2 linked regions of the Saccharomyces cerevisiae S288C genome follow. The protein of the gene in region 2 purifies or fractionates together with the protein of the main gene of each other region. This does not show direct contact. Each region holds a gene or a part of one and is shown on either strand. Other genes may lie near its edges.

Region 1 (4,773 bases), on a different chromosome or scaffold from region 2:
AGGTATATGAGAGCTCTCGAAGAAAATCGCGACTTGATCTTACATCCTCAAGATTCGATTTATAACGGGCTAAATACCAATGAAGTCAAAGGTAATACAAAGCCCGGTTTGGTCGATGTGGAACTGGCCGAATTAAACATAGAATACATTGATAAGATGACTTGGAAACGGTGTATTAGAGACGGAACTATGACATTAGACAGTTGGGCTCAAACAACTTTTTCAGCAAGATACTCAACTGTTCTGGAAAAGTTAAGAGGCATATACATTTTTTGCACAGAGATGTTTGCTCTGACTGATGATAATGGAACGTCAGATTTTTCTGCGGAACCCCAAAATTTAGAGAAAATACTATACAGAAAGCATTGTACGCCATATGAATTGACATGGCTTTTCAAGAAATTAGCAAACTCATTGGGAATCACTTGTGAAATTGTTATAGGTTTCCTGAAAACACCGAGTGCTATAAATTGGGAGTTTAAGTATAACCACTGCTGGTTGAGAATACTGGTTAACAAAGAATGGAGATTTATTGACGTTATTTTAGGAAATGTAACCAACCCAATTCATGAATTTGTAAATAACAGAAAGATCAAGAAAGCAGAAAATAGCTACTTTTTGATGGCACCATTAGAAATGATATACACACATATACCGCCTAGGGAATTTGAGCAGCATATTGTTCCTAGTATCGATCAATTATCTGCATTGTATCTGCCATTAGTTTTTCCATCTTTTTTCAAAAATGAGTTAAAGTTATACAAATTTAGTACTGCACTATCATTTTTGGAAGATTCTGAGATCTACGAATGCTCCTTAGAAATTCCCAATGACGTTGAAGTCTTTGCATCCGTGGTTATTCCAACGGATAATGAAGAAGCTTCATCTGCGTACAGGAATATGGAACTCGCACTGACCCAAATCAAAAAGCAGAAAGCCGAGTCTGGTAGAAGAATTGCTCTAATCAAAGCAGTCCTACCACCCAATGTGAACAAAGGTTCACTGTACATACATTCAGGTGTAAGAGGTACGCAAACGAGTATTGCCAATATCCATCCACTGTCCATGATGGTCCCATTAACACATAAGGGAAGTAACATGAAATACGAATTTGTGATCAAGATACCCTCAGAAAGCATTCAGAAGATTGAGCTATACATTGTCGAGCCACAGAGTAGATATCTATTTGTTGGTAATGAGTACTCATTCGAAGTTATTCAAAGTCCCTCCGATGGTATTGTATACAGCAGTGATGAAGGGCCGAACCAAAATAGGAAACAACCAATGGCAATAAAATCACCCTCAGGAAGAGTTCATGAGCTAGTCAAGAGCGATCCCCACTTTCCTTATGGTACCTGGAAAGGAAGCATTAAAATCAAAGAGCCCGGCGTCTGGAGCGCTTTAGTGATCGCTGACTCTGGTATTGGGTGGTCCGTTTTTGCTGAATGGTTGTGCGTATAAACGTTTTTCACAAATTTTTTTACAGCGCTATAATCTGTATCATTCAACATACATTCTACTCAGGAAGGTGAATTTCATAACTCATATATGGCTATATAGTACTTATTATTTAATGATTTATCCATTGCATTCATAAAAGCTATGCTGGTCCAACTTTTTCGTATTTAGTGATGTTTTCGGTGAAGAAAATATGAAAAATTAGACCAAATGCTCAAATACATACGACATTTGAATTGTTTAGGCAAGTCCGAAAACGAGGTATATCAGCTAATTCAACCTGAAAACCAATTGAGTGCTACTTCGAAGTAAAATACATAGCCATTTCAAATGGAATTATCCCCTACTTATCAAACAGAACGCTTCACAAAGTTCTCAGACACTTTAAAGGAATTCAAAATTGAACAAAATAATGAGCAAAACCCCATTGACCCGTTTAACATCATAAGAGAGTTTCGCTCAGCCGCGGGGCAGCTTGCGTTAGATTTGGCTAATTCTGGAGATGAAAGTAACGTCATATCTTCTAAGGATTGGGAACTGGAAGCTAGATTTTGGCATTTAGTAGAACTGTTACTGGTTTTCAGGAACGCTGATCTTGATCTAGATGAAATGGAACTTCATCCTTATAACTCGAGGGGTTTATTTGAAAAGAAATTAATGCAAGACAACAAACAACTTTATCAAATATGGATAGTGATGGTTTGGCTCAAAGAAAATACATATGTGATGGAAAGACCCAAAAATGTACCAACTTCAAAATGGTTAAATAGTATTACTTCTGGAGGATTGAAAAGCTGTGACTTGGATTTTCCTTTACGAGAAAACACTAATGTCCTCGATGTTAAAGATAAAGAAGAAGATCATATTTTCTTCAAATACATTTACGAACTAATTTTGGCCGGTGCGATTGATGAAGCATTAGAAGAAGCTAAACTTTCCGACAATATTTCAATTTGTATGATCCTGTGTGGGATACAAGAGTACTTAAACCCTGTCATTGATACGCAAATTGCAAACGAATTCAATACCCAGCAAGGTATCAAGAAGCACTCTTTGTGGAGAAGAACAGTTTACAGCCTTTCGCAGCAGGCCGGTTTGGACCCTTATGAAAGGGCGATATACAGCTATTTGAGTGGCGCTATTCCCAACCAAGAAGTTCTGCAATATTCGGATTGGGAGTCTGATCTGCACATACACTTAAATCAAATTTTACAAACTGAAATTGAAAATTATCTTTTGGAAAACAATCAAGTAGGTACTGATGAACTGATTTTACCATTACCTTCACACGCGCTAACTGTACAAGAGGTGCTTAATAGAGTGGCTTCAAGGCATCCCTCAGAAAGTGAACATCCAATCAGAGTTTTAATGGCATCTGTCATACTAGATTCTTTGCCATCAGTTATTCATTCATCCGTGGAAATGTTGCTTGATGTCGTCAAGGGAACCGAAGCTAGTAACGATATTATAGATAAGCCTTATCTTCTGAGGATAGTTACACATTTAGCCATTTGCCTTGATATAATTAATCCAGGTTCTGTTGAAGAGGTTGATAAGTCCAAGCTCATTACTACGTATATCAGTCTTCTGAAATTGCAAGGCCTTTATGAAAATATTCCAATATATGCTACTTTCCTGAATGAGTCAGACTGCTTAGAGGCATGCTCTTTCATATTGTCTTCTTTAGAGGACCCCCAAGTAAGGAAAAAGCAAATTGAGACAATAAACTTTCTAAGATTACCTGCCTCAAATATTTTGAGAAGAACCACACAGCGTGTTTTCGATGAAACCGAACAAGAATATTCACCATCTAACGAAATTTCCATATCTTTCGATGTAAACAACATTGATATGCACTTAATATATGGCGTGGAATGGCTTATTGAAGGGAAGCTTTATGTGGACGCTGTCCACTCTATCATTGCCTTATCGAGGAGATTTTTGTTAAATGGCCGCGTAAAGGCTCTCGAACAATTTATGGAGAGAAATAATATTGGAGAAATATGCAAGAATTATGAATTAGAGAAAATAGCCGATAACATATCAAAGGATGAAAATGAAGATCAGTTTTTGGAAGAAATAACTCAATATGAGCATTTGATAAAGGGCATAAGAGAATATGAAGAATGGCAAAAATCCGTTAGCTTGTTAAGCTCTGAATCGAACATTCCTACTTTAATAGAGAAATTGCAAGGTTTTTCAAAGGATACATTTGAATTGATCAAGACATTTTTAGTAGATTTAACTTCCTCTAATTTCGCGGATTCGGCAGATTATGAAATCCTGTATGAGATTAGAGCCCTATATACTCCATTTCTACTGATGGAATTGCATAAAAAGTTAGTGGAAGCCGCAAAGTTGTTAAAGATCCCAAAATTTATTTCGGAAGCCCTGGCATTTACCTCATTGGTCGCTAATGAGAACGACAAGATTTATTTATTATTCCAATCTAGTGGAAAGTTAAAAGAGTATCTGGATCTCGTTGCTCGCACAGCAACCCTTTCGAACTGATCAATTAATGTATTGCAGAATAAGTTTATATTTTAAGTAAACAGCAATAATTTTATGCATTTCTTCTATCTATTTCAGAAGTAATTGACGTGATTTTTTATAGTTTTGCTTTGAATCTTTGTGTTTCCACACCGGAGAAAAAAAAGTTCATGAAGTGAAAAAGCGGTTAAACATGAATTTTCTACTATCTAAAGATAAAATTACAGATGCAGTTACTTACATACATTGAACAGTTTCTGACGGCAAATTTAGCTTCTATTAATTTTTTTCTGTAGCTGATGAAAAATTCTGTCCCTATGATGCGCCAATGGGTCATCAACATCCGTCGGAAAAAATTCATTTCTAGGGTATTCAATATCATCTCCTTCATCAGAATCATCTTCGTTATCACTTATCTCTATTTCACCTTCTTGGCCATCCAAGTCAATGAAATTCGAGGAATTTATGGATTTCAAGACATCACTTTTTCCTCCAAGCCTGTTAAAAAGATCCCCGTACTCTTCCTCCACATCGTGGTACCCATTAGATCCCTGAATTTTATCGTCATTCCAAGAGGAAAACCTGCTCTTATTAACCCCTATAACAATCTCTTCACCCAATGCAGCTATATCCTCTCCTTCGCTACCAAATAGAATAGATCTATCATCATCTTCATCCTCCGGATAATCATTTTGGTAATAGTTTTCGTCATTAGAATCCTCATCGTCTGAACGGGCTTCATTGGGATCACTTTCTTCATCAAGAGCCAAATCTATATGCTCAATAATTTTCACAAACCCTATATTTTTCTCGTTGTTATATCTA
Region 2 (7,798 bases):
GTGTAAACTGTCAGTAAAAAAAATAGACACCACAAAACAATAAGTGAAGATAAAAGAGCCTAGTGAAGTAAACTAATTCAAATGAGGTTCCAGCTTTTCATATATTTTTATTTCACCATTGTTGTGATTGCAGGAACTAACACAATACAACAGTTCAGCGATGCGGGCGATAGGTTAATCACATCATTGAGAAATCTGGACAACAATGGAACATACGAAACATTGACAGCAGAGAAGGTGCCTATTATCGAGGGACAAATTCAAAACATTAGTGCAAAATATGAGCAGCATACTTTTATTTTGAAGGGCTTAGAAGCGGTGCTAAATTATAAAGTGAAAAGTTTGGATAATAATGAGAGAGAGTCGCTCGAAATAGAATATGAAAAGGTGGAAAAGGCACTAGATGCGGCTTTGAATGTTTCACCATTTGAATATATCAAAAAGTTTAAAGAAGTCTCCAGGGGCAAGGTAGTTAATGCTTTAGAAAACCTCAGTAGAGAACAGAATCGAATTACTATAAATGGTGGTAGAGAAGACGAAAAAGAAAAAGAAGCGAGGGAAAAAAAGAAACGACTAGACAGAATAAAGAGAATCCTAACTGTAAGTCTGTTAGAATTGGGTCTAGCTCAAGGAGTGGCCGATTTATGTGCAGTAGCACCTTTTGCGTGTCTTCTTGGGGTGACAGTTGGAAGCATCGGTTTCATATTTTGGTTGGCACTAATATATAATGCTATTCAATAACTTGAACAGTTGTACTAAGGCAGTTTAAGTCCATTATACTGTGCGCATGCACCGGCATAGCTGCCGCCGCCTATTCATCCATGACTGTTTATATTTCTGTAGCTAGCTCTCTTTTCATGAAGCGCCATATATATTATTTTTTGAAAGCTGAAAGATAGAAACTATAAATAAAATAAAGCCGAGAGAGAGAAAGACCCAAATAACCTTTAATATTATAGCCTTTAATAACAATGGAATTACAACAATTATCTAATTATTCACCTGCATCCCAAAAATATTAGTCGTAGCCAAGATGAACCAATCGATGTGTGTTATATGTACCTCTGCTTTGCAGTATAAGAAATTTACATTTATTTCTGACTAATAACACCTTGGTGCCCCAACGGTAAACAACTTGTATCAGTTCTCATAAGTGCGGCCATTTTATGCAATACAGGCTGCATTATTTCACCAGCCGTGAAAATCCGAAAATTGTAGTAATTGAAAGCGTAATTAGGTTTTACTATAATAAAGTAGTAAAACCTTCAACAAATAGTAGCTCGCGTGGCGTAATGGCAACGCGTCTGACTTCTAATCAGAAGATTATGGGTTCGACCCCCATCGTGAGTGCTTTGTTTCTTCCGTGATAGTTTAATGGTCAGAATGGGCGCTTGTCGCGTGCCAGATCGGGGTTCAATTCCCCGTCGCGGAGATTTTTTTGGCTACTCCTGTAGTTATTCTTCATTAATGCTTTGTTAACCTTCCTTAGCATTAAATGCAATAGCAGCGGCTCTTCAAAGAATATGAAGTTTATTGGCGTATAATCAAGTGATAGCATTCACAGCACCGTGTTGTTAAGGGGCAATTTACGAAGAGTCTCAGTTTATGATAGTATATACACGTTAAGGTCCCAGCAAGAGCGTAGTATTTCACGTAAATATTCTCTTTTGGGTAAAGCACTGGTATACATATATAATAATAATTAAACTGAAACGGCTCACGAGTCTAGTGAGCCCATTCTAACTACGGTCTTCATCAAAGTCCTTCTCGGGCCGGGTAGTATGATTCCGTTTTCGTCTTTTGATGAAAATAAATTTTCTGCTGGAAAATAACAAGGTTAGTTTGTAAGTGTGATGTAGTATTTAGTAAATGCGCCCATTGCCTTTCAACTAGTTTACCAATACCTTTCTTAGCCACTTAGTTTACACTATACTTAATAAATTATTTCCTCAGGGTACGCCAATTAACAACACGCCTCCTAAGCACGAAATATATATAACTTATATCACTTGGCATCTAACCTAGTTGAAAAGATTTGTTCCGCAGATAAGAAAAAATGAAATGGTCTGCAATTCCTTTCCAAACATTGTATCGCTCTATTGAGAGTGGTGAGTTCGATTTTGATCTGTTCAAAGAGGTACTTCCTGACTTACAAAATTTGAACTTAAACACAGACAAACTAAAAAACAATGCTAGCCGATCACAATTAGAAAAAGGTGAAATTGAACTATCCGATGGCTCTACTTTTAAGGTCAATCAGGAGTTTATTTTCGAAGCTATTTCTTTGTCCGATGAATTAAACTTGGATGAAATTGTTGCATGTGAACTTATACTTTCTGGTGATACCACCGCTAATAATGGCAAAGTACAATACTTTTTGAGAAGGCAATATATCCTGCAAATTGTTTCTTTTATAGTCAACTGTTTCCACGAAGATACTGAGTTATACCAAGAGCTTATAAAGAATGGAGCTTTAGTTTCTAATATCCTCTCAGCCTTTAAGTTCATTCATACTCAATTATCTGAGATTAAACAACAAATCAATAAGGCTCAGATACTAGAAAACTATAATGCTTTATTCCAACAAAATATCAAGTTTAGGAGAGACTTCTTACTGAGAGAATATGATATTCTGAGTCAAATTTTATATGGTTTAGTGGATAAAGGAGCCATCATGAAAAATAAGGATTTTATACTGTCCTTACTTCATCATGTGTCAGAATTGGATTCCAATGATTTTTTTATAATATATTATACTCCTGCATTTTTCCACCTTTTCGCATCTTTAAGAGTTTTGCCCGATGCAGATGTCAAATTATTACATTCTCAGTTTATGAAAGACTTAAAGGACGACTCCATATATACCAAACCGGTCAAAGTAGCTCTTATTTTCATTTTTTTTGCTTACTTCATTGGGTGGTGTAAAGAAGACCCTAAAAGAAGGGCTGACACGATGGATTTCAAAACTGATGTTGATGAGCCAATGACTTCTGCCGTCGAACTAGGCGCTATTGAACAAATTTTAATATTTGCCGCAGATACATCTATCGTGGAACAAGACAAGAGTATGGAACTTTTCTACGATATAAGGTCCCTGTTAGAAAGGCATATTCCAAGGCTAATTCCTAAACAGTTACTTGATGATGAAAAAATTTTCAGTCAAACGACGAATTCTACCTACAACCCAGCATCCGCAACTGATAATATGAGCGGACGCGGCTTATGGAATCCGTCTTATCCTGGGATGATGTCAACCACGGGTACCGCTCGACTAAATAGTATGCCCAATAACGTCAACGAATATTCTTACACTACTATAGTTTTATCCGATCAGACCCAAGAATTTTTCCTCTCATCCTTTGATGATGTGCTTCAAACTATTATTACAGATTGTGCCTTTTTGCTTACAAAGATTAAGGATGCTGAGGAAGACTCTTTGTTGTCCGGTGAAGACTTAACTTTGGATGACATCTCACTAAAGGCTGACTTAGAAAGATTTTTTCTGTCAATATATTTTTTCTATGCATCAAGGCCCGAATATTCATGTACTTTCTGGTCTGATAAGGAATCAAACGCTTATGGTTTTATTGAGTGGTGTTCGAGATGCAACGACAACTTGATGAGGTCTTGTTTCTATTTGATGGTTTCTAGCTTGTCCTTTGGTCCTGAAAATGCCCTGAATGTCTATCACTATTTTGGCGAAAACAGCTCGATTTCATGGAAAAACATTGCACAGTGTCTCAGTGACTACACTAAGAAAATAAGCAATTTTAACTCGAGCCTCCATAAGAGGCAGCAGTTTAGTGAGTCAACTCATAACGATATCGATTCGACTGCGGTAGCCTTAGAAGAAGGCTTAAATGAAGAAGCTGTAATATTTCTGTCTTCTTTATTAACTTTAGTTGGATCAGTTACATACCAGGTTGACGAGGATGTAAAAAGCTCGCTATCGAAAGTTTTCTCAGATGTCCTATTCGAATTCACCAAGATAAATACACCTCTCGTAGGCGCTGCTTTCAAGGTTATAAGTAACTTGGTTCCAAAACTTGAATCTTCTAGAACAAAATTTTGGTCTTTTCTAGACTCTCTAATTTTCAAGGATTCATCGCTGAATTATTCATCCGAATCTTATAGAAATGCTTTTACAAACGTGTTAACAAAATACTCTGACGTTTTGGGGTTTTTACAACTCTTCCATAATCTGATTTCTATTCATTCTCGTGAAAATAATAGTGAATACATGGTTTTTGGCAAATTGGCATTTCCAACAAGATTAGGTCAGGGATATAGGAAGGTAGGTATATGGCCATATTTTGACTACATTTTCAACGACATTTTAGCGCACGTGGATCAAATTGTTGATATCAGAAATAAAAGAGCCGTCCAGCTTCCTATTTTGAAAATTATCTATACGGGCTTATGCTCTTTTGATTACAGTGTAATTTTAAATTCTATTCCTGCAGCTGCGAATTTGGATGCTTTGGTGGATTGCGAAAATTTCTTCAATTACGTTCAAGAATGCCCAGCTATCCCCATATTCAACTATATTTTCACGGAAAAGATTTACAAAAGTATATTTAATGTAGTTGATGTTGGTGTTGATCAATTGTCCATAGAGTTAGAAGGTGGCAAAAATCAGGCTGAATTGTTGCAGTTAGCTGTGAAAATTATCAATAAAGTATTGGATTATCAGGAGACATACGTGGAAGAATTATTTCCAATTGTTAAGAAGCATGGCAAGACGGATTATTTCTTGCCAAAGAATTATTCTCTTCACGGATTACGTTCATTTTACGATGCAATTTTTTTCAATATTCCACTTGTTGCACACTTGGGTTTATACGTCGGGGTCGATGATCAAATTTTAGCCACAAATTCACTGCGTATTTTGGCGAAACTTTCAGAACGCTCTAATGGCTCCGTTGCGTCTTTGTCTAAGAGAAATAAGTTGTTAACAATATTCGATTCCGTAGATGAATCAGCCAGAATAAAGGATGCATTTATTACACAATTGGAAAGCTCAATAACCGACGCTGGTGTCCTTGCTTTGAAGTTAGAACTATTAGATTTCTTAACATCAAATCTTTCTAATTATAGTCGAACGATGACTATTTCTCATCTGTTATTAGGTTTCCAGGTCTCAAACGTTATATCCCTGGGACCTAACCTAGCAACATTTATATCTTCCGGAACCTCATTACTTGATTCCCTCATAAGCGTGTTGGAAGCTTCATTGAACAGCATTACTAAGGACAATATCGATTATGCACCTATGAGATTGGCTACAGCAGCACTGGAAATTATTCTCAAACTATGTCGTAATCCGTTAACATCTGGTCTACTATATTCATACCTAATCAAAGAAAACTTTTTTGAGAGAATAATGATCCTCGATCCACAAGTGACAAGGTTCACGACATGGAACGGCTCTCCTTTTGACAATTCTACAGAGGAAAAATGTAAGAACTTCATCGAGAGCGAATCCGTTGGTGCATTTCTGTCATTCTTAGCCTACAGGAATTATTGGACACAATATTTGGGTCTGTTCATTCATAAAATTTCATTTTCGGGCACGAAATCAGAGGTTTTAACATATGTGAATTACTTGATATCAAATACAATGTATTCGGTAAGGTTGTTTTCTTTCTTGGATCCATTAAACTATGGCAATATCTGCGAACCAAAAGAGACGTTATCAATTTTCACCAATGTTCCTTTAAATTTGGAACAAGTCACTCTTAACAAGTATTGCTCCGGCAATATCTATGACTTTCACAAAATGGAAAACCTTATGCGCCTGATTAAAAGAGTCCGTGCTGAAAGCTTACATTCTAATTCCTTCAGTCTCACTGTGTCAAAAGAACAATTTTTGAAGGATGCAGATGTCGAGTGTATAAAAGCAAAAAGCCATTTCACGAATATTATATCAAGAAACAAAGCATTGGAGTTGAACCTATCTGTGCTGCACTCTTGGGTACAGTTGGTGCAAATCATTGTTACTGATGGAAAATTGGAACCATCAACAAGATCAAACTTTATTCTGGAGGTTTTTGGTACAATTATTCCGAAGATTAGTGATTATATTGAGTTTAATATAACTTTTTCAGAAGAATTGGTTTCTCTCGCCGTTTTCCTATTTGATATATATAACCGCGATCGTAAGTTGATTACCGACAAAGGCACGGTAGACGGCAGGCTATATCAGTTGTTCAAGACATGTATTCAGGGTATAAACTCCCCACTCTCCTCTGTGGCATTAAGGTCCGATTTCTATATATTAGCAAACCATTATTTGAGTAGAGTTCTAAGCGACCAAGTAGGGTCCGAAAAGGTTCTGCAGGATTTGAGACTAGGAAGTAAAAAATTGGTAGAGATCATATGGAACGATGTTGTTTATGGCGAGGGAACTAGTAGGGTTACAGGTATATTACTATTGGATTCACTTATTCAACTGGCTAATAGAAGTAAAGAGAATTTTATATTGGATTCACTGATGAAAACTACAAGACTGCTCTTAATAATACGTTCGCTGAAAAATACAGATGCTTTGTTAAATTCTACTACAGAGCACATAAACATTGATGATTTGTTATATGAATTGACAGCTTTTAAAGCCACTGTATTCTTTTTAATACGTGTTGCCGAAACTAGAGGTGGAGCTAGCGCTTTAATTGAAAATAATCTATTCCGAATAATCGCGGAATTGTCATTTTTAAAAGTTGATCCTGATTTGGGTCTAGACCTTATGTTTGACGAAGTCTACGTTCAGAATTCCAAATTCTTAAAGGTTAACGTCACCTTGGATAATCCGCTACTAGTTGACAAAGATGCTAATGGTGTTTCCTTGTTTGAGTTAATCGTTCCTATATTCCAATTGATATCAGCTGTTTTAGTGAGCATGGGGAGCTCAAACAAAGCTGTTGTTCAAACGGTAAAGGGTTTACTGAATACGTATAAGAGGCTAGTGATCGGAATATTCAAAAGAGATCTTTTGAGGGAAAAAGAAGATAAGAAAAATTCGTCGGATCCTAATAACCAAAGTTTAAACGAAATGGTGAAGCTAATTGTGATGTTATGCACATTAACAGGATATCAAAATAACGATTAAGTCATTCATTATCACTTTTAAGAATTACTTTTAGGAATCGATTTCATTTTGCAAAATATTTGGTTGTGTACTAAGTACTAAGAAGAAACTATCACAAAAAGTGGCTTTTAGTTTCATACACTACAGAAGCCTTTCTTTGGTTCTGATTTGGTGCGTATTTACTGTCTAATGAAATAAAAATCCAGGTCGTTTACAGATCGGCACGACACATTACAAAAACTTCTTGAAAAAGGAAAAAAACAAGTATGATTGAGGTGTTAAATTAATTGCAGGTTCTGAACCATCGCGTACATTTTGATACCTATATATAATTATTTAATATAGCACATCCTATGTCAAATAAGTGTAGAATAGAGGGAATTTTTTCTTTTAGATCATTTCTTTATCGAGTTGATTTGTTTTTCCAGAGAGGTGGAGTTATCGTCTAGTGACCTTAAAGCGTCGAAATGTGAATTCAAGATTTTGATTAGTTGAATATTTTCGTCTTCATTGTTTATATCGATGTTAGTGGTTTTGTTGAATGTATTACTAACATTGTTGATTTCTACTATTAGAGAAGAAAGATTGGATGACAACGAGTTTAAATTTTCGTCCAAAGTCTGGGCTGTCTTATAGGCCTGTTGTCTTTTTTGGTCATTATTGTTGGCCGCAGCACCTGAACTTGTAGACACAACATCGGACAGAAGTGCC

What was found.
Region 1: the proteins of NUP192 (region 2) and NUP84 purify together in Saccharomyces cerevisiae (affinity purification with mass spectrometry; 5 studies listed by BioGRID). This does not show direct contact.

Annotation. Positions count from the first base shown.
Region 1 is NC_001136.10:249,778-254,550, forward strand, and holds NUP84 (Nup84p), read left to right. Parts: upstream 1-1,788; coding exon 1,789-3,969; downstream 3,970-4,773. Other genes in the region: CYK3 (Cyk3p), read left to right, coding at 1-1,461; IWR1 (Iwr1p), read right to left, coding at 4,218-4,773.
Region 2 is NC_001142.9:368,058-375,855, reverse strand, and holds NUP192 (Nup192p), read left to right. Parts: upstream 1-2,056; coding exon 2,057-7,108; downstream 7,109-7,798. Other genes in the region: LOH1 (Loh1p), read left to right, coding at 82-741; FG-nucleoporin NSP1, read right to left, coding at 7,483-7,798.